Nothobranchius furzeri: one gene and its partner. The protein of the gene in region 2 interacts with the protein of the main gene of each other region in a pairwise test. Links are inferred from orthologs where the notes say so. Each region holds a gene or a part of one and is shown on either strand. Other genes may lie near its edges. The genes, in order: plekhb1 and rap1gds1.

What was found.
Region 1: the proteins of rap1gds1 (region 2) and plekhb1 interact in binary tests that used the Homo sapiens proteins (3 or more experiments, as listed by UniProt). The two-hybrid records come from large-scale screens. The link is inferred for Nothobranchius furzeri from reciprocal best matches to the Homo sapiens genes RAP1GDS1 and PLEKHB1.

The regions. Positions count from the first base shown.
Region 1 is NC_091750.1:28,768,600-28,780,303, reverse strand, and holds the start of plekhb1 (pleckstrin homology domain-containing family B member 1), read right to left. Parts: upstream 5,842-11,704; 5' UTR 5,734-5,841; coding exon 5,697-5,733; intron 4,000-5,696; coding exon of another isoform or gene 3,860-3,999; intron 3,770-3,859; coding exon of another isoform or gene 3,640-3,769; exon of another isoform or gene 3,629-3,639; intron 1,983-3,628; exon of another isoform or gene 1,913-1,982; intron 1,034-1,912; exon of another isoform or gene 921-1,033; intron 1-920. Other genes in the region: tubulin-specific chaperone cofactor E-like protein, read left to right, coding at 3,640-3,769, 3,860-3,999, 5,848-6,029, 6,113-6,369, 6,438-6,564, 6,675-6,791.
Region 2 is NC_091743.1:87,833,142-87,844,734, forward strand, and holds the start of rap1gds1 (rap1 GTPase-GDP dissociation stimulator 1), read right to left. Parts: upstream 6,422-11,593; 5' UTR 6,205-6,421; coding exon 6,201-6,204; intron 1-6,200. UniProt on the Homo sapiens protein: Acts as a GEF (guanine nucleotide exchange factor) for the Rho family of small GTP-binding proteins (G proteins) that stimulates the dissociation of GDP to enable subsequent binding of GTP.

The DNA of each region.
Region 1 (11,704 bases), on a different chromosome or scaffold from region 2:
TCTGCCCAGCCACTTGGACCAGCTCCTCGGAGGGAATCCTAAGGCGTTCCCTGGCCAGCCGTGAGATATAGTCCCTCCACCGTGTCCTGGGTCTACCTTTAGGCCTCCTCTCAGTTGGACGTGCCTGGAAAACCTCACCAGGGAGACGTCCAGGAGGCATCCTGACCAGATGCCCGAGCCACCTCAACTGGCTCCTCTCGATGTGGAGGAGCAGCGGCTCTACTCCGAGCCCCTCCCGGATGACCAAGCTTCTCACCCTATCTCTAAGGGAGAGCCCAGCCACTCTTTGGAGAAAACTCATTTCGGCCGCTTGTATCCGCGTTCTCGTTCTTTCGGTCACTACCCAAAGCTCATGACCATAGGTGAGGGTAGGAACGTAGATCCACCGGTAAATCGAGAGCTTCACCTTCTGGCTCAGCTCTCTCCTCACCACGACACACCGGTACAACGCCCGCATCACTGCAGATGCAGCACCAATCCGCCTGTCGATCTCACGCTCCAGTTTTCCCTCACTCCTGAACAAGACCCCGAGATACACAGTTTAATTTATGGAAAATAATCAATAATAACTTGTAAAATTTTAATTCAAAGAACCAATGTTCAATTGATCGTGAATTCAAAACTGTCACCTCATGGCCAAATGTGGTAACTTCAGTCTGTACTGTTTAACTTAAGTTATTTACTTATTTAAAATAAAATTAAAGATAATATGCTCAATAGTATTTTTCGGTTTTATTATAATTTTAACTTTAAATTGACATTTATATTAAATTGAATACATTTTCCAAAACCGCTAAGCTTATTTGACATTGCCACAAACAATATAAGATTCAGTTATGATTTTCTTCTTTTTGATTTATGGCAAATATATATTTATATATATAATTATTATTATTATTTATGACCCTTTTGTTACCTTTTAGCCAGAAGACTTTTAAACTACGTCACGTCCGGTAGAGTGGGCGTATTTAAGCTGTCACTCTAACCGAAGAAAAACAACAACAAACTGAACGACGACAGCGTTCCGGGGTTGGTGAGTACGGCGGTTACAGAAGTTCCCGTCTTAGACCTTCAAATATAAACAAAACTTTAAGTGTGAATGTCCGGAAAACGACTCGCCTCCAGCCGCCACCGTACGGTTTTAGCTTTTCGGGGCTGAACGTGAAATGCTGTTTTCAGACACGCTTCAAGGTCGTCGTTTCCATTGGACTTTACTGTAAAAATACACATTTAACACCATTAACATGTTAGTCTAAAATATTTTCTCCCAGGCTTTTGTCCAGCCTGCTCTGCTAAGCCCCCGAGCTGCGCTGGTTGTCCTGCACTCGTGTTCGCCTTTACCCGTTTAAAAATAACGCGTTTCAACACGAATTAGCTTTTAATGAAATGCATTCAAATGTTGCAGCGACATTTATGAGCTTTATGTTCTGGTGTCGACTGGAGTTTTAATCGGGTTTATTTATCAGTCGAGGTCTGTTGTTGTTGTTTTTACAAAAAGAAAACAAAAATTCCCTGCAGTCCCACAACTGCTCAGCAGTGGGCAGTAGAGAGCATGATTAAAGAATAAGTTTTAACGAGGGAATGACTTCCTGCCTTTTTTGTGATAAATGGGACTAAAGACGGTTTTGTGGCACCTTACATTTTCTAGTTTCATAACTGTGCTGTTTAAAATCATTTTTAAACAGAAAAATGCAACTTGATCAAGTTTTGTTTGTTTTAATTTACTATTTAACCGGTAGATCACATCTCAGATTTCTGACAAGTGCCTTTGTCTAGACTAACATCTTGTAGGTGCAGGAGCACAGATGTCACTTGGCTTTGTTGTTGTCTGCCTTGTAATGCAGGTTTCGCTGGTTTGCTTTGTAAAGTCTGAGCTTTCTTTTGCCCTAGTGTGTTTTTGTTTTTTCCTCAGCAGTGATGGAGACCTCTGATATGATTTGCTGCTGAAAACAACCTTTCCTTTGGTCTCTGCAACACAGCAGGTACGAACTGGGGATGGAAACTTTGACAGAAATATCAGGAAGAGTCCAGATGGACTGAATTTAAAATGATCAGAAACTTCTAGGTCTTGTCAGAGTCAACAAGGGGCCAAAGTCGGGGTGAATTACAAAATATTGTAAATCTAAATGAATGGATACAGCATGTGTAAAACCTGAACAAATTAATAGTAACTTGCATTTTTAGGGTTTTCTACACTATAAACGGTCTCAAAAGGTGTTTAAGTGCGTGTATTTAAAGTTATTTTCCTTAAATGACCTTCCTGATTGTATTCCAGTGGTTCAAATGACTCATAAATACATTTAGTTGAGTTAAAATGCAGATGTAGACTTGCTGGGTGTTGAAACCTTTGCAGTGTTTTGGATTTATATTTTATTTTCTTGCAGCTGAAGGTTTTGCCTTGTGTTGGGGATCGACCGTGCACTCGCAGGGCGCAACCCTCTTCACGGCGGCTTCTAATAAGTCATATAGAAGGCTGTTTGTTGGCATAATCTTTGACCTGCAGGGAAACTTGATAAATTGGCCAGTATTGTGCGATAGGACATGTACTTTAGTTGGAAAAAGGTCAAAGATGCATTCATAAACCAGCTCTGTAAATGACAGGAGAATCGTAACTATGAGAGCAGAGAAGGCTCATGTAGGAAGTGGGTGGGTGTTTCGGTTTACCTGAAGGATGCAGAGGTGTCTGCACGTGTCTTTTGTGTAGGATAAAAGTATAAATACTGATCAGTTTGGGCTGATTCCATGAAGGAGCAGCTCATTTGTGAGTTTTCTGTGTTGCAGCTTGTTTCTCGGTAGTAAAGACCTCCACGGTTCCTCAGAAACTTATGAAATCATATCAGTGAGCTGCACATTTTCCGTGGTTGACATGTTCCTTCTTTATCAGAACGCAGACACTGAGTGGGTTTGAGTTGATTCTACTGCTGCAGGATGCATGAAAAACCAGTGTGTGTTCACGTGTGTTTGTTTTGGGTCACAAATCTACCTTGTTCTAATTTGTGACACTGAGCTGGATCAGACGGGTTTATGGTTGAGTGCTGCGGAGGATCAGAACAGAAAAACTGTTCAAACTGAAGAAACTAGTAAGCAGGGATGTGTATTTTTGAAATTCTGGCGATACGATACATATCACGATACAGGGGAGACGATACGATATATCACGATATATTGCGATACATTCAGTCAGACGTAACAAGCAATTTTTTTTACTGAATTTATTGTAAGAATGTTCAATAAACAGTCCAAGCTGATACGTAACATGTTTAACATGAGGTATCTGAACCATGATGGAGGGATTTACATTTGAGTGGTGGAAACAAAACCCGCTGCACACTGCTGCCAACTAGAGGGTGGCGATTGAATTGTGCAAAACAAAAAGAAAATACACAAATGTTTGCATGTAAATTCTTTCAGGAATTAGATACACGGCTTTTGAATATCGCTGTAATAATCGCAGGAAAAAATATCACAATATATTGCCATATCGATATTTCCGATACACGTCTTTTGAATATCGATATAATATTGTTGGGGAAAATATCACGATATATTGCCATATCGATATTTTCTTACATCCCTACTAGAAAGTGTCTGAAAAGCTTTTTCTTCGTCTCTTCCTGTTGATGCTTAGCTTACAGAACCATGGATTCCTCTGACGAAGAGGAGTCGCGCACTTTTGTCCAAGTCATCAGTGAGAAGTACAACCCAGAGAACTTCCCTTATGGCCAGGGGGTCGTGGTCCTGCCCAGCCCTCCAGGGTCCCCCGTTAAAGGTGAGAGGCGTCCACCCATCGACTGGCGTTTTCGACATTCGCCGCCTGTTGGAGTCCGGTTGAACTGACTAGAGTTCCCCTTTGCTGCAGATCGCCTCTTCCTGCCCAGCTTTCTGGTTCTGAACAACTGTGGGATTAGTAAGGCCGGCGACCGGTCGGACATCGCAGCTTTCTGTGGTCACGTGTTGGAGCTGGACTTGTCCCACAATCAGCTCAACGACTGGGGAGAGGTGGGTGTCCTCCTGCCACTCTATGGACGAGTCCATGACATCAGGCTTATTTCTACAACTTAAAATGTTTAGTGGCTCTAACTCCTGTCATGTTTTACTTCTGAGGGGGAGCTTTTCTGTTAAACGATAGCTTTAGTCTGTGAGCCAACCAGAATGGACCATGCTGTGTCCACAGTGTTGGGTCAGACCAGAGTGGTTCAAGCTGCTTCTCCTGTAAGTACACAGGTTATCGAACCGAAGGCTGGAAGATCGATGCTTTTCTGTTAACAAGAAGGGTCGACGGCTTTAACGCTGCTGACACTAATATCCATGATGAGGAACTGGATTCCATGCAGCAAATGAGACCTCGATAACGAAAGGGGAGGCACTTCTTTTGCATCAATGCTGCACGATGTTAAAAAATGCAGGATTGTTCAGCAAATGACTTAAAATACTTAAAGTTCTGCTGCACTCCTGCCTTCTGGTTGATGAGTAACCTATTGGTCTTTAACCAGGAGATAAATTACACTCTGGATTAAATCGGCATTTTTTTTTCAACATGATTAAAATGAAAACTGTAGACGCACTAAAAGCTTTTGTCAAACTACTCAGAAATGCAAAAGAACATCAGACAAACTGTTCTAAGGCTCACGCCTTTGACAGGAAAGAGCGGTCTCAAATAAAACGATCTTTTTACGTTCATACGGGTCCAATTAATGCCCTCTAATAAAATAACTGGTCCACAGCACCAGTCTTACAGAACTGCATAAAATTTGAAGATCTGCCGAGTTTCCTTCACACGTTTCCTCCTTGCAAAATTTTCATCAGAACATCCGTTAGCATCCTCATAATTGTTAAAAACCTTTGATCAACAGCGTATGTTGTATAAGAATGGAGTAAGAAGGACATCCTGTGGTCAAATTTGGTTACTGCAGTCCATTTTTCTAAGCCAAATAATCACTTTCCCCCTGCCTTTGTGTGAGTTTCATGGCCGTTGCCAGTTACAGGTCCACGTCAGAAGTTTCTAGAAGTGAAAACGAGTCATACTCGGTAAGTTCATGAGTAGATGAATACATTGCCATAGCTGGTGTTGGCACTCTTTGGTGTTTAACGGACCGGTAGGGAGAACTAACTACACTTATTACGGTAATATGTGTGAGATTAGAAGAAGTGTGGTTGGTTGTCGTCTTGCTGTTAGCTTGCTGCTGTTGTTCTGAACGACTTGGAGCTGACTGCTTACTTCTAATTCACCGTTAGCATTGTTAGCTCAACGTTAGCCTCTAGCCTGCTTCACCGGATATTGGAGTAAAACAAAAAGATATTTTAGCTTCTTAGGGAGGCAGAAATAACTTCTGGGTCGCTCCTATTTACTGATTTTGGTTCTTTAAACCACTCTGGAGCTTTTTGCCTGCTGGTGTTGAATTAGAAACGCCAACGCCGCAGCGGCAACCTCACGGGCTCACAGTAACTACGTCCCTCTGGTTCTTTTAAAAGGAGAAAAACTGCCCCCCCCCCCCTTGCAAGACCTGCAGTGTGACTATCTCACGCACTTGCAGGGTGGTGTCGATGCTCCAGCATCTTATAGAACAACTCTGGTCTGCTTTTTGTGTTGGGGAATAAAAAATATCAGGGATACACTAAAGCCAGCATCAGGTATCGGTCTAAGACTAAGGTCACATGCTGATACGAAAATACGTAGCGTGGTGCCCTGCTCTCACCTGAGTAGTAGAAGCGGCTAACATGGATGAAATCCATGTAGCGGTGAAGCAGAACTGGTGTCCGCGCTGTCTGAATCCTCACGGTATCGGCGCAGAACCAGGTCACGTGGTCCGCTGCTGCTGCGTTCTAAGATGTCCGTGGTTTCGACAGATCAGCACAATTGTCTCCAACATCCCTCAACTCGACTTCCTCAACCTAAGCATGAACCCCCTGAGCAGCGTGCATTTGGAGCCCAGCATGGCCGACGTCTTCTTCAGAGTCCGACGACTCGTCCTCATCAACACACGAGTCAGCTGGGACACCGTTCATACGCTGACTCAGCACACACCAGAGTAAGTGAACGCCTCAGATCTGACGTTGGGGAAGTTTGTGTGCATTTCCTGCTCCGTTTTTCACTCCGCCGCCTCGTTTGCAGGCTGAAGGAGCTGTTCCTCTGCCTGAATGGCTACAACACCGTGTCAGAGTCCCGGGCATCCTGCTCGTCTCTCAGCCTCCTACAGATCACAGACAACCAGCTGCAGGACTGGGCAGAAGTCAGGAAGTTTGGGCGGCTGTATCCCAGACTGAGTACGCTGGTTCTGGCCAATAACAGCATAAACTCTGTGGAAGATACCAAGGAAACACTGGAGCATCTATTCCCCAACCTTCGCAGCATCAACCTTAACAACTCAGGTTGGATTGTAGATTTAAATAATTGTTTGCATTAAGATACAAACTGACTGTGATTTATATAAACCCAGGGCTTAGTAAATGGGAAGACATAGAAAAACTGACCTTTTTTCCTAAACTGGAGGAGGTGAAAGCACAGGGGATTCCGTTATTACAGTCCTACAGCAGCCAGGAGAGACGGAGCCTCCTCTTAGCACAGTAAGACCGCCTCCACAAGCTTCGTCTTCATGCAGGAGCAGATCGTTTCATTAAGTATTTAATGATCTAAATATTTGATGAACCCGTGGGACCTTTTCTCCCACCCCCAGGCTGCCATCTGTGATGGTTTTGAATGGGAGTGCGGTGTCTCGTGGTGAGAGGGAGGACGCTGAAAGGTTCTTCATCCGATACTATCAGGACTGTCCAGAACCGGAGCTTCCTCAGAGGTAAGCTCTTCATAGTTACTGTTGAATCACTGCAGGCTTTGATTCCGTTTTAGGGGTTGACCCATATCGGTCGGCCAATATCTACCAAGTTTTATACATCGGCTGATATGTATCCTTAGTAAGACCGATTTAAGTCATGCACATCCTCGGGCAGCCCTGTGCTGTTGCTGAATTTAATTTAAATGTATTTTTACGTTGACTAATACCATCTGCATAACAACTACTCTAAATTAACTTTATTTAGGTGTCTGATTTTTACACTGAGCAGTGCACAAAGTTGAGATTTAACAGTTCGGAGTTCAAAAACTGATTCGGCTTCAGGCATTTTGTGCATAAACCGATGTTATTAATGACATTTTAGTGTGAAATTAAGGTGGAAAATATCTAGATGTAGGCCGTGAAAATCGACCCCTAAAAATCGGCAGTTGATAAAACTCGTATATCGGTCGACCTCTAGCTCTGTTTCAGGTAACCAATCAAGTTTTAGACAAGCGAGCACAGTGAAGATATAAAACGTCCGTTTGTGGAAGCGGAGTGTTAAAATTGCTCTTTTTTATCACAATTCATATTTTTCCACAAGAACAGTTTTATGACCGTTTGAGGCCGGGCACACACGTAGCTGTTTTTTATTTTTATTGTGTAAAACCAAATACCCCTCACCACCAATCTGGAAGAAAAAGCTAGGGTTGAAATTGTTTTTGTGGGCAGTGACTTTGCCAAACCGACAACCTCGGTTATTTACGTCCACAAGCAAATGCTGACGAAGGAGAATCCACAAATTTCTGCTTCGGTTGGAGTTTTTGAAAGAATAGTTTTTGATGGTGTTTAACTTTACTACGGTGGCCCTGAAGTGCAAATCACAAAAACAAAACCCAAACCGGAAAAGGAAGGTACCAATGCTGCAACAACGGGCATCACTGATTGGATGATGGATCCGTTGGCCTTTTGAACCGGAAGTTGTTCTGCCGAACGTGTGTTTTTTTTTACCTACATGATAATACTCTGTAGTAATGTGTTGTGTACGTTTAACAAGTTCATTCTGTAGCTTAAAACATACATGAAGCCATCTAAAGTTAGCATGTAAGTCCTGAAAGCTTCTAGAATAAACAAAGTTACTTTACCTGAAAACGGTTGTGAACAAACGCTGCCGATGGACGTGAAGCTGCTGCAGCTCCTTAATATTCCTGCTCCATTTTCGCTAGCTTTAGCATTTTTCCTTTGCGTGTAGCTGCCGCCGCGGCTGTGACGGGACCTACGGGCCACCGTAGAGGTGAAGGCTAGACTGTCCGAATTCAGAGCCGCTGGTTCCGGTCTTAGCGGTCTGGCAAGGACCCGTACTCGTAAGCATCCTTCCCGTGGATTCGCACACATGTATGTCGATGATTCGGACACTGTTGTATACTCTTTGTTTGTTAAATAAAGTTTAAAAAAAAACACGTTCGGCAGAACAACTTCCGGTTCAAAAGGCCAACGGATCCATCATCCAGTCAGTGATGCTGTTGTTGCAGCGTTGGTACCTTCCTTTTCCGGTTTGGGTTTTGTTTTTGTGGTTTTCTATTTGGTTTTGTGTTTAGTGAATTTGTTGTTGTGCTTTTCAATTTGTTGTTCGTTTAGTGATTTGATTTTGTGGTTTGCACTTCAGGGCCACCGTACTTTACTCTCGTGGATGACGGACCAAATTTAATAAAAATATCGTTGTTTTGTGGGATACTCGGCTACGTGTGTGCAGAGCCTGAGTCCACCCGCGCTAAGTTGAACATTTTTTAACCACTTTATTTCAGTTTGGTTTATTTTATCTTTAAATAGTTTAAGCTGTAATTTAGAGGAAAAAGTTCAATTCAAATCAAACCCTCAGCATGTTTATTTGGTAAAATCAACATCATTCATGTGGTAGAAATTATCGTGTCATTAAAAAGTGTTCTGCATTTGCACGTTTCAACACGAGTGCCTCCACAGGACTGATGCTAGCGCTGTAGGACGATGAAACCTCGTGAGCCAGGATCCAGAAACGGGCAGCGCAGGTGAAAAACATCTGCTCCGACTCCGACGAGCACCTGTCGGCGTGCAACAATAGCTACAGTGTCTCCGGCACATTTAAAGAATGTGGAATAAATTTTGGAATGACCCCGCTGCTTCCCAATAATCGCCTTCGCTCTCTGTCGTCGACTGCATTCCACTTAACCCTGGCAGAGTGTCTGGGGGGGTTTCTGAAGGAAGGTGTAGGCCCTGGCAGGGGGGGGGGGGGGGGACTAACCTTTGAGAGACAATGCCACCACTCTCTCACTGCTCAATGAACCCTTTGTTCTGGGAATTCTCTGATTGGAAAACCGATACAGCAGGTAGCTTTATTTAAATATATATTTAAACACACCTACCCTACCAACCTCAAGCATTAAGCTGACAGATTGATTTTTGGGGGTTTTGCGTTATCAGCTGGTTTAACGCGTTTTAACGTTCCCTCATCCCCATCAGCTTCTCTCCTTTTGACTCTCTTTTCCATCACGTTTATGAATGCAGGTGTCTGTGGTCCCAGTTTGATGCTGGGTTCCTCGGGCGGGTCAGAGGTCAGGGATTGGCGTGACTGCGTGTGGGATGTTATGGGGGGTGTCGGACACGCTCGGTTAGAAGTGAATACGCGCCTATCCCCTTTCCTCTTCTGATGTGGCCTTGATGCTCTGGGGGTCACGACCTCTCAGGTGAGCACAGAGAAATGGTTTTCAGTTCAAAGTGGCCCCAAAACATCCGTCGGATCATGAGTGTCATTAAACGCTTTAAAGATGATCTAGATTTCAGGCCCGTGTGGGGAATTGGACATTTTAACAGAGAAAATGAGTAAAGATTTCAGCTTAAATCTGAACAGATTCCAGAACCCTGGTTTTCCTGCTGAAATGAGAACGATGACATGTCGTTTGTCCCATTACCGCCTTAAATGAAGCCCCTCACTGTCGTCCAAGGGCTCCTCTATAATGGCGTTTTGTGCACTGTGGCCTTGGAGGAGAATTCCCACAGTGCTCCACAAGTTTTGGCCAGCAGCTCCGTGTCCAGGGGACGGGCTTTGTGGACGTGTTTTTAGAGGGAAGGTAGACTGCTTTGATTGGCCCAGCTGTTACAGTGGCTTTGAAAGCACAGTCCCTTTTCCCCTGGATTGTATTTAATCGTACCTGGATACTTATCTCGAGCGTGTATTCCCCCGAGGTGGCCAAGGGCTTTCTCACGGCAAGCGAGAAGCAGACAGTCTAGGGGTTTTCGGACTCTGAAACACCCAGACTGGAAAGAAAACGGGCAAATTCAAGTAGTTGAAATTCGTTGTTTAAGGCTTTTATATTATGTAATGGAATTAAATCCAACTGGATTTCAGTACAAATACTGAACCACGCGTTGTTTGATTAATTACTATTTAAAGGCCATCTTTCATTTTAAACACATGTTGAAGTGCTTGTATAGTAATATGCCTAAACTTTATATTTTCATTGAATAAAAGGAAGATATTTGAAAGTAAAACGAGTTATTAATGATCCAGCTCTGCTTACCTAGCTAATCCGGTTTAAAACGGCACCTCTAGCTGGAAACCGGAAGTGATGCGCACGGAGGGAAAACATTTCCGACTCTACTAAGCAGTGGATTCACAGCAGCAGGATGAGGCGCCAGAATTTGAACACGAATTTACAGTTATTTATAATACTGAAGGTGCACAGCCATACAGGTTTGAACCAGCAGCAAGAGGGGATGAGAACGGGCAACGCAGAGGTCATTTAAATGGTGAAAGAAGAGCTGTAGAAACGTGGGAACTTCAACATGGACACCGACTTGGAGATGCTAACTGGTAAGAGCATGTTTTATTTTTAAAGATATTTCGACAGAAAATGCCGTCTGACAGATTACATCAAATACCTAGCCACATAACTTAAAGAATTACTAAACTCAAATTAAAAATGGTTCGTTTGGATCAAAGTTCTTCATAGCCCTAGCACCCCTTTGTTAAATTAGCTTTGTTTCATTAGCGGTTATTACATTAGCCTAGCCTGGGAAGCCACCCATGTAAAATATCCTCGTGATTCAGCAGAAAGATTCTAGGCTGATGACGTTACTCATGATCCCTCCACAAACCTTTTCATACAGTCTGGGATTCTGGTTGTACAAATGAAACGTTGCAGATCTGATGTCCCACAAAGTCTCCACCTTAAAACTGTGACCTACTGTAGCTTTACTTAAGTAGACATTTTAACAATAAGTAACTTACTGTGCTGTATGAATGACAGACACTGGTCATAATGTAATGCTCTGTGGGATAAAGTTTTCTGTCATGATCATTCTCTCATTTCATTTGCTTATTTAGGCGTGGGTGTGGCCAGCGTGGGCCAATGGACAGCATTATTCACAGGAACTGGAACCATTCAGGGAGTTCTTGTTGATTCTGGACCCACCAGAACCACATCTCCTCTGTGTAACGGGCCATCCTGGGTTTGAGGGCTGCTGCTTGAATCCTTTTGTGTTGATGCTGGCTTATCAAGCATTTAAGGAGCAACATGGACGTCTACATCTGCAGTTCAATGAGTCAGAACATACTGATCCGCTAATGTCATGAGTATTAAGTTTAGCAACAGTGCATCACTGTCACCATCCATATTTGACGAAGTGCTACTGAAGATGGTCATTAAAAATTCCCGCTAACAATCAAAGACAAATCTGTAACATTGCTGACTATTCCACTTCTTCATTTTGCAGACGGAATCGTTATGCTGCTTAAAGACGGATGATCCGATGGACACACGGCATCACTGGGCGAGACATCCTCTGACCTCTGAGACCTCTGCCATCTTGTGCGGTGGACGCCATCAGAGCAGCCTTCCCAGATGAAGCTGGACACTACAAAGGCTTCCAGTGGCCTAGTCTGGACCAGTGTGTCTCAGAAA
Region 2 (11,593 bases):
GAGAAATCAGAGAGAGAGCAGCAGGAGGCAGTAGACCAGAGGCTGGAACAGGGCAAGGGACCTCCATTCCCCCTTTATCAGGTCAGAAAGAATATAATCTTTATTGTGCAACAGTCATGTCAGATAAACACGAGAGACAGCCTCTTGTAGGACATACCATGCTGGGAAATCAGCGTACGTGTAATATAAACGCGCCGTGGCGGCATGGTGTTGCGGGAATTTTGTGGCATTCGTGCTGCCACGGTTGATACTAATATCACCGCAACGCCGGACTTGTGAATGCATATTACAACTTGGCGCAACAGAAGGGGGTATCATGATCACGTGGGCAGTTACTGCCGAGCTCCGGCCGGCAACTATATTGAAAATGAAAGTAAACATGGGCCGTAAGTTTGGCTTTTCTAAACAGAATCAGCTGAGATGATGGCCGGGGAGCCTCTCCGTAAGAGTTGAAGCTCAGATCACCAGAGACTGCACGGGGACAGACACCTTCTGGAGCGGCTTGTTAAAAAAGCTTAATGAGTGTGGCTTTGATCGCAATAAAAAGCAAGTTATGTCCAAGATAAACTGAAGTCCGTGGCAACGCAGAGACCGCCCCCAAGCTCCCTTTTCACCGCCATCGCATAATCTTTTGTAAAAAGATCATGATTGCACCACATTATCCAGCAGGACGGACTGACCACTTATAAACGACCTAATGCTGCCCATTGTGTTCTGCTTATAATTGAGGATAACCTTTTCCCATTTTATCTTGGAGCTGATCCAGTTAATGTGGAGTCATTTTCTTGCACAGAAAATTTGCATTGAGCTTTTAATATTTATCAGTAATAATTGGGTCAGTTATTCCAAGCACCAAAAATAAAGGATTATTGTTTAAATTGATAGAAGTTGTTAATCGTGACAAATCATTAGTGGCAAAGTTGCTTCCCTTTAGTAAATGATTTTACGTTTCTCAAAGCATCTTTCCATTCATCATCAGTAATGTTGCAGTTAAGTTTCCTTTCCCACAATTCCTTCAAGGTTTCCCTAAATTGTGACATTTTGATGTATTGTAAAATGTGTGGGAAAAGTCCTTGTTTGAAACACTGAATTTTCTAATTGGTTGATTAAGTAAGGTCAGGGTTAAGTTTTCCAAAGAGATTTTGTGTTTTGGATATTCCTTTGTTAGTCCAACTTTTCCTGCCATTATTCTAGGTAAAAATAAAAAAAATCACCATTATCTCAAATTTGTTAAATGATGTTATCTTGTACTAATGGCACATATGTTTACTGAATTCTTCCGCTTCATGATGATGTGGTTTACTATAACATTAACATAATGGATTTAAATTGTATTGGTTTCTTTGTCTACATCTACCACATCTCATCTTTATAGTCCAATCTTTCAAGTCTTCAATTTCAAATAAATAAAAATGTGGTCTCATAGAAAACAAAGTTTTGGCTGGATTTAGCTGGAGTTTGACATATATTTGTATTTTAGCTGCAAACTGGGACAAGACTCTCTCCAATTCAGACAACCAGAGTGAAGTTAATGACTCAACCTTCCATCCTGCTGGGCCACCAGAGTCACCAATCAATGCTAATCCTGCAGGATCAAATGGTAAACATTGATCTTTGAAAGTAATAAATGCTTGTGTATGTATTTGGCTTATGTTAGGTAATTTCTCATTTGATGTTTTCAGACATCTTCCAGTGTGATGCACAGAATCCTGCGCAGACATCAGAACGGTGTTCTGTTCCAGTAGGACCTGGTGGTGTGCTTCTCATTTTGTAAAGGCTCTTTAAATTTAATTGAATTTTGCAGTCAGTCACTTGCAGATTCTGAATGCCATGAATGTTAAAGGTTGAGAGATATAAGCAACTGACTCAGACTTATTTAATTGACTTCCCACCAGACATTTCCCAGTCAAGAGCAGAGGGTCCTGTGATATTCTTCTGGTGTTTTTTCCACACACAAACATATTTTAACCTGATATTTGTGGCTTTGCAAAATAAATTGAATGCTAAAATTTCTCAAATGCTGTGTGTGGTTGTATTTTGTCAATGTACAGTAAAAATTGATGTACAATTGCATTGATGTTTTTCAACATGGTGTTGGGGTAAACTGTATCTACCATACAAAACTGGGAATAGTATGCAAGTATGTTGGACTGTTCGTGGCCCCTCTATAAATATTGTGGCCCCTTGATGGCCCCACCCTCAGAAAAATCCTAGATCCGCCACTGAGGTAAACTTGTTCAATTTGGGGTTAAAAACAAACGTTTTCACATATTTTCCATGTAGTTTTTTTTGCCAGTTCCTCTTCTGAAAGGTAGACAATTGTTTTTCTCTTTCCTTCAGAAAATCTTAATATTCTCCTAGTTTGGCCCAGCACAGTTCACTTCCCAGTTACAGCAACAGCCTTATATCATAACCACATAAGTGGAGAAAATGCTCAGTAGCAATGAGAGAATTTGCTGTTGCATTTAAGTGACGTTAACTATTATTTAACGTTTAAACTATTTATTCAAAAAACCCTGCTATGGGATGTTTTTCTGTATTTGGAGCATCAGAAAAAGTTTTATGGTGGAGGTGATGTTTTAAAGTCAATGAGAAACTGCATGCATGCAGTTTGTTGTTTTGCTGCTAATACAGTAGCAGGTGCAGCTGCAATAAAAATGTTATGTTGTAATGGAATTCATACATTAGTTTTTATTTGCTTTGAACCCAGAGCAGACGTCACACGCCAGACGACATCAACACTGCATACTTTAGTATTTGTTCATTTATCGTGAGTAATATCGATATCGCAATATTAAGCACTGTAATCGAATATCGGAGTTTTTCCTAATATCGTGCAGCCCTACAAAGGACTGTGCCATCTACGCCCTGAAGCGTAGACAATAAAGCATGTTAATATCAGCGCCAGCAGGGACTCCATGTCCCATGATCCTCTGCAGCCGGCAGCAGCTTGATGATGTCATCAAGTGACGCCAAGTCTGACACGCCCCGGTGGATACCGGCCCCTACAGAGACCGCCCGCTGGACGAGTCTATAAAGCTGAGGCGCAGAGCGGAACTCTTCCTCTTCCCGTCCAGTTCATCTGGTGTTAGGAGACACCCCCCCCCCCCCCCCCGCCCCCACTCCCACCCCGCCTCTGCTCTTACCGCTCCGGACAGCGTGTGCATGAGGCCTAGCTGCTGAGATCAACGGACCAACGCCATCTGATCTGCTCAGCCCGGACACAGACGGACGCCTTGTGTTCGTTCATTCAAGATTTTTTTTCCCTCTCTTTCTCTCCCGCTTCTCTAATAGTCCAAACAAGCGGTCGACCACGTGACTGCTTTAAATTAACAGACGGTCTCTCTCTTTCGTAATAAAAACGCCAACGGATTATCTCGAAGTAAGCTCCGTTCCTTTTATTGTTTAAAATCTAAGTTTGTTTATGCAGTGGCCAGGCTGACAGACTGTTTAGATATGTAATTTGCCTTTATGACTGATCTGTTGTTTTTTTTTTCTTGATCTTTGTGAAGCGATTTGAAGTGTTTTGATTAAGTTTACTGTGAACGTTTGTTCACACCGTCAAATACGCGTCTGACCAGGGTCCCACACCCACTGATCGTGCGTGTTTGGGAAGACAAGCTAAATTCCACACACACACACACAGTTTGATCCTTTGGTCAGCCAAACGAAGGATCCGCCATTTTGTTTTCAAAACTCCCTCCAGTTTGGTAATCAGCCTATCTCTGCCTGCTTACATCATCAAGCAGCCTCACCATTGCCTGATCACATAACCATCTCACCCCACCGGTCTGATTAGATTGTTACGTCACATCATCATTCCATGGTTTCATTGCCTGTTGTTTGTTTGATAAAATCGGTTGGTTGATATTGATTGGCTAGCGCTTTGAAGGAGCTAAGGTGATTATATTAGTCAATAAATGTTATTGCCAATTAAGTTGTCTCAAGTTAATTTGTCTGTGTTGGATAGAATATGACCGCTGCTCGTTAAAAGAATTTTACGAACTTTAGACAGATTGATAGAGGCTTGGATTCATTTTTCCCCTATAAAAAGGGGTTGTGCCCCTAGGCATATCAACGGATATCCTAATTACGTAATAAATCAGTAAATATTTCCATATTTACGAATTTTATTGATGAATCCAAAGAGTAAGTAAAGCTTACAAATTATTTGTTGGCTAATAACCACAACACTGGCCTGTTTAGGATTAACTCTTAGCTCGACAGACAGACATCAGAACAAATCTCTTGTTTCTAGAATCTAAAGTAACACAAACAAGTACGATGCTAACTATTCACATGAGCCCACTTTTAAACATCTGAATTTTCCAAATGAATGCAAAAGGTGACTTTTGTATAATATGACCCCTTAGAAGTCAGTTTATGGCCAGAACACAGTCTGAATGTTAGAATCACCATTAGGGATGTAAGAAAATATCGATATGGCAATATATCGTGATTTTTTTTCCAGCAATGTTAAATCGATATGCAAAAGCCGTGTATTTAATTCTTGAAAGAATTTACATGCAAACATTCGTGTATTTTCTTTTCGTTTTGTGCAATTCAATCACCACCCGCTAGTTGGCAGCAGTGTGCAACGGGTTTTGTTTCCACCATTGAAATGTAAAACCCTCCATCATGGTTCAGATACCTCATGTTAAACATGTTACGTATCAGTTTGGACTGTTATTGAACATTCTTACAATAAATTCAGTGAAAAAAATTGCTTGTAACGTCTGACTGAATGTATAGCAATACAGTAATCCCTCGTTTATCGCGGTAGATGCGTTCCAGACCTGGCCGCGATAGGTGAAAATCCGCGAAGTAGGGACTCCCAGCATGCCCCTCGCGGGGATTCCCTCCACGTCGCACCTACGTCACAAACCGCGGCTATAAACGGAAGTCGCCTTTCCAGCTCACCACTCAGTCATCGTTTCTTCAGATTCATGATCAGAGTTTCCAACCTACCGATCCATCCCATGAACTATCAGCTCATAGTAAGTTATCTTGCTTACTTCTGGAAAGCCCGGCATTTCCGTGTCACTTCGTTGACGCTCGAACGCTCGGGGGTTTCCTAGATCAGCCGGCGTTTCACCGACGCTATCACTTCCGCGTCTGTGAAACCACGCTCCCTATTGAATTATCGTATGATCACATTCTTTTTTTGTGGGTAAAACTCAAGAAAAAAATTTTTTTACTTGGTTTTTTTTAGTTTTATTACAAAAAGTGCATTTTATGATGAAATTGATGGAAAAAAACAAGAATTTCTTGATATTTCGCATAGAAAAATACCGCGAATCAGTGAAAAATACGGCGAATTCCCCCTGAAAAATGCTCCAAACAAAAAATCCGCGAAGCAGCGAATCCGCGATGAATGAACCGCGAAGTAGCGAGGGATTACTGTATATCGTGATATATCGTATTGTCTCCCCTGTATCGTGATATGTATCGTATCGCCAGAATTTCAAAAAATACACATCCCTGATCAACATGTTACCACTAACATGTAAATATTCAGTGGGAAAGCAGGGTAACCATTAAACACCCTAAGGATTGCAGACAGATGTCGGCTCCAGCCTTGTGGCCATCGGCACTTTCCTGTGAGACTGCTAGCATCAGGGCCAGATCTAACACAGAACTCACACACACTGTAGTGTGAATTAATAAAACCTGGTCAGGATGACTGTCCAGGAATGTCTCAGCCTGGGCTCAAGTGATCTGCTGGTTTCACCAGAAGGTGGCCTGTCTGATCCTATTGCATAACAGCTGTGCAGATGGAGTGCCATCTTCACCATCAGCAGCAGCTCGCTGCCATTTCACTGCATCTGCAGCAGCATCTTCTCCACCCCAGACCCTTCGCACCAGGGGGGCCCACTCGCGAAGAGCCAGCCTCCAGGAGAGCCGAGGAGGAGAACCGTGCGTGGAGTCGGGCAGGCTACCCCACCCGAGGGATGGGCGCGCGCGCGCATACATCCACGATGTGGTCACACTCGGCCCTTTAAAAACTCACGTTACAATGAATGAAAACGGAAATGAGTAACGGGAACTGTCAGGAACGGCTTTACTGGCACGATTGTGTCAATCAACTTCAACAAACCACCAGACACTGCATCATCTGATGGTTTTACACTTCATGCTTTTGGTAAATCTAATGAAAAAGCTCGCCTCTGAATGAACCGGATAGCCGGTTAACTACTCACCCATTTCAGCAGGGTGTTACTCCGGAAAACAAACCGGGGTGTCTGGGTATCTCCGTGAAACGCGTCGCACCAGCCGGAGGCCCCACTCGTCTGGTCTCCGGGGGAAGTTAGCGGGTTGTGGGAGCTAGCTATCGAGCAGCTGCAGCAAGCGGCCGGTTCGGTCGGACAGTACGGTTCTGAAACAGCGGGAACCACCAGGCTAACACACCGGACTCTCTCTCATGTCCGTGCTGACAGTCAGTGGTGGTCTGGCTGGCAGTTCCCGAAAAACTGGTTCAGTCAAACATGGCAGAATCAAGCTAGGAGACCGGACGGAGATGAAAACATCCGGTCAACACTTTCAAAATAAAGCAGCCAAAATGTGCGGTTGTTGACGCGCACAACCAGTGGATGGCAGTGTTCTCTAACTTCCCTCTGGGATTAATAAAGTATCTTTGAATTGAATTGAATTGAGGAAAGATGTCCAAAAGGGTTCAAATTCCTTTACAATTAATATAAAATAAGTTTGTTTCAGGGGCGGATGCTGGTTAACCCATTTGTCATTTAAATAAATAAAATCTAGAGTTCATTGTAATGTCATATTTGTCACATAAAGAGTGGGAAAAAAAGAAATGTCACACTTTATAAAAACGATGTGAGTGTTGTTGGAAAAACATGCATAAATGTGATAGGATCATACGTCATCCAGTAATGACTTATCAAAATAAAACAAATCAGAACAGGTTTCTGTAAAGAGTGTCTGCTGAATAAATGTAAATCTACAAAATCAGGATGTTGTGTTATGGTATCGAGGCTGCTGCATCCCAGCCACTGGTGATGGAGTCAGAAGCGTTGGAGCCATGAACACAGAAAAGAACAATCCGATTAAATCCACTTATTTCATCTGGAAAACTTCCAAAGACTGGATAAGTGCGTCGGTTTCCTCCTCAGCGTGCAGGTGAACCTTCAGTCAACATTAGATAAAAGCATTCTACAGCTGAAAGAAACGATGAAGTGTTCATCAGAGCCTTCCTGCTTAAATGCTGAGTTTGTTCTTTTCAAATGTTAGATCACATTTTTCTTTCGTCCTGATGGACTTCTTTTTAACTTTAACGCTCTGACAACCCGCAGAGCATGTTTTTGCTGTTTTTATTCTCTGTACAGGTGCCTGAGCCTCCATGCAGGAAGGGGGGGCTCGGGGGGGGGCTCCCCCCCTCCCCTCCCCACCATAAGAGGACCGCTACTCCTGCAGCAGCGCGGAGCTCCTCTCCTCCATCCTTCTCCTCCTCCTCCTCTGACTCGTCAGTTCGCTGGAGGCGCTTGTGTCTCTCTTTGGGAATCGTTGTGGATTCAGCGCATTTCTTCGTTTAATTTTTGAGGAATAAACGCAACACCGCTGACGCGATGAGCAACAAGGAGCGACGAGGCGTGAATTTCAAGCGCTTGCTGAGGAAGAATTGGCTTCTGATCGCCACGGTTGTGTCGGTGCTGCTCGGTATGTAGAAAGCTTTTGCTCTGAAACCCTCGCGTCTGGATCCGAACGCATCTCCATCTCTGTCCGTCTCAGACCACCGTGTTGAGCTGCGGGCAGGTTAGAATTAATTAGCATTTTCTGCAGCAGCTGGACTTCCTGTGGCCGTGGTTGGGTCTGTGTGGGAGGCATCTGTCCCGTCTGGACATGTCTCAGTCAAACGTGACCAGACTCAGGTCACAGCTGGGGTTGGTGTATGCGTCCCAGGATCACACACACACACACACACACACACACACACACACACACACACACACACACACACACACACACACACACACACACACACACACACAGGTTGTTTATGCCAGCATACTAACAGGCTGACCCTCTGCAGTGGTGTCATCGCTCCAGTTAGAGCCCCTCGCTGGTTAGTGGAGTGACTGAATGCGTATAATAAATACTAACATTTCAACATAGAACCAGTGTCCTAGTGCTGCAGTAGGTTAGCATCAACGAGATGGCTGCAGGTTCAACGCCTGGCTGCGACCTTCTACGTGGAGTGTTCGTTTTCCCCCCACAGACCTCAAATATGTCAGAGCAACTGGTAAACACTCCCCCAGGTGTGCATGTGTGTGTCCATAATTGTCCCGGCATGGACTGGCGATGGTCCTGGTTACCTGTCCAGGTGGATCCTGCCTCTCCTGCAGTGACAGAATAGAAATAGACTTACAGGTAAAGAAATAGAAACGTATTTCTAATCTCCAGTGTAACTGGGGAGATTATCTGAGACGTCACTGCTCCAATGTTTTGCTATTTCTGATTAAGGTTAAAACCTTTTTAATTATTGAGCTTTAATTAAAGTAGCTTTATTATTATTTTAGATGTTATTTCGAAGTGTTTAACTTCAAAATACTGTTTGAACTCATTTATTTTCACTAAAACGGTTTTAGGAGGTTAGACCAAATAAGCAGTTGCTTCAGCATTCCTACTTTAACACAAATGTTTTTGACTGTCCGTGTTCCAAATGCAAAAACAATAATAAACACTAGTAGACCAGAGCAGAAAGTTCAGCCAACAGACAGAAAAATCCCAGCCAGCGGTAGGACGTGTGGTTTAAACACATGTAAAAACAGGTAATAGCCTCCTGAGACCCTGTGTCTACATATGAGGACACTGGCTTCTTTATTCTTATTCTTTTTTTTATTTAGAAACATTTGATATTGATTTTAAGTAAAAAATATATTTTGTTTCAGTTTTTTTCTTTAATTTATTTTACATCCCACCAAATACAAATTCGGGTCTCAGGAGGATAGATAAATTCATCTTTGAGTTTGGAAGTTTTCTTCTTTCATCTCCCCTGATTTAGAAGCTTGATAGAAAACAACAACAACAAGCACACATTCTCCCCAAAAATCAATTCAAATTCAAAAATACTTTATTAATCCCAGAGGGAAATTGATTGCTGTAGTAGCTCAGAATAATAATAATAATCAAGTCAAAGAGTTGTTGATTATTACAATGGCTGTTGGCAGGAAGGATCTCCAGTAGCGGTCAGTGTTGCAGCCAAACTGAAGAAGCCTCTGACTGAAGACACTCTTCCGTTGTCGGACAGTCTTGTGAAGAGAATGCTCAGGGTTGTCCATCATTTTCTTGATTCTCTGGAGAATCCTTCTTTGCATTATCTCCTCCAGCGGTTCTGAAACTGCCGAAACTCTGGCTGAGTCCTTGAAAGGGCTTGGAGTTCCTCCATCTTGTTGGCCAGTGATCTCACGTTGCCCGTTATGATCGATGGAAGAGATGGTCTGAATTTCCTCTTTCTCTGTCTCCGTTTTGCTCCCGCTCTGCACCCACGCTTCTTGCGTTTTAGCTCATTTGGGATTTGTGGCTTCAGTTGAGGTATTATTTCAGCCTTTCCAATGTTAATCAGCTGCTCCCGGTTGTAAACCAGCTTGTTGCCATGGTTACACATCATAACAAATGCTCAAAAAGTGAAAAAAGCTAAAAAATAGCAGCAAAAATCCTCCAAGCTTCACAGCACCAGAAACAGAAAAGTAAAGTGTCCAAAAAAATACAGTTTTTCTTGAGAAACTAGAAGAAAAAATGACCAAGAAAAGGCAAAACTTACATATAGTCAACAGAGCTACTCCAACATTCAGCCACCCAGAGCAACGCGGTTCCGGAAAATAAATAAATAAATAAAAACAAGTAGTTTTTCAGTATTTGGTGAAGAAAACCCATAAATAAATAAAATTACAAAAATTAAATTGGGGTTTACTTACAATTTAAATGTAAGAAATCACAATTGTGTTTTATCTGATTTTGTTCATCTTCATTCACACAGAATCAAAATACAAACAATTCAGCTGTTGAGTAAAATCTTATGAATGAATGATCAATCTATTCAGTCAGTCATCTTAAGATAATGTGTACAATAACATGTCATACAAATAGATACAAATACCATTTCTCACTAACATATGCGTTCATTTGTATATGGTGTCTATTTGGTATCTCATGACTGAATAGGTTAAGGCAGAAGCAGTAGCTTATATAATTGTCTAACCTACTTACAAAACAATTTTTCTATTTCCCGCAATGAACCAACAACCCAAATAAAAATAAAACACAAATCCATCCATCAACATCAAATTAATACTCTTCAAAAATATTTTTACTGATAAGTTTTTTAAGAACTGAAAGAGAAGTTGCTAATTTTAATTCTATTTTAGCCTCGTTCCAAAATTTTACTCCCATTACAGAGATACATCTCCTTTTCATGCCCTTTTTGGCTTTTTGTAGAACAAACGTACCTCTTAACCACACCTCTTAAATCATAGTTACTTTCCCTCTTTACAAAAAACATTAGTTTATTTTCTGGCAGAGCCGTTAATTTTACTCTAAACATAAATTGCATTATTTTATAATAATATAGACCTTCTAATTTCATAATCTGTGATTTTAAAAACAACGGGTCAGTATGAGCATAATAATTGCTCTTGTTTATAACTCGAATAGATTTCTTTTGTATAGTTTTTATTTCATGTATATATGTTTTAAAAGTTGAACCCCATATTTCTATACAATATGCCATGTATGGTTGTATTAGTGAACAGTATATTAGACGTAAGGCCTTATGGTTTAGTATGTCCTTCAGCTTATATAATAGACCCAAAGATTTGGCAATTTTTCCTTTTATTTAATTTAAATGATGCTTCCAGGATTAGTTAGAGTCAATCACAACACCAATTAATTTTATTTCAGACACTCTTTCAATTTCAGTATCTGAAATTGTTCATTTAAAGTCTCAATTTTTTACCTTCTTATTTCCAAAAATCATAAATTTAGTCTTTTTTTATATTCAGTGATAGTTTATTTACATCAAACCAAGATTTGAGGATATTTAACTCTTTTTTGGCCTTCTTTAAAAGTTCTTTTACATCTTTACCTGAACAAACTAAATTTGTATCATCTGCAAACATTATAAATTTGAAAAAATCTGTCACGTTACATATGTAATTTATATATAAAGTAAATAATATTGGACCTATTACTGACCCTTGTGGAACTCCACAACTTATTTCTCTAAATCCAGATTTTATATCTTTAATTTTTACATACTGTTGTCCGCCGCCACGGCTGTGACGGGACCTACGGGCCACCGTAGAGGTGAAGGCTAGACTGTCCGAATTCAGAGCCGCTGGGTTCCGGTCTTAGCGGTCTAGCAAGGACCCGGCCTTGCTAGACTGGCGAGGACCCGTACTCATAAGCATCCTGCCCACAGATTCGGACACACCCATGGAGTACTGTACTTTGGCTGTCCTGCGCGCTTCGGCTGGGTCATTTTGGCCAGATTGTTATGTTAGGGTCTTAGGTAGATGTTGGAAAGTTCTTAGGAGACAGAAGTGGTTTAAACAGTTTGTTTGAAAGGAAGGTGGTAGTT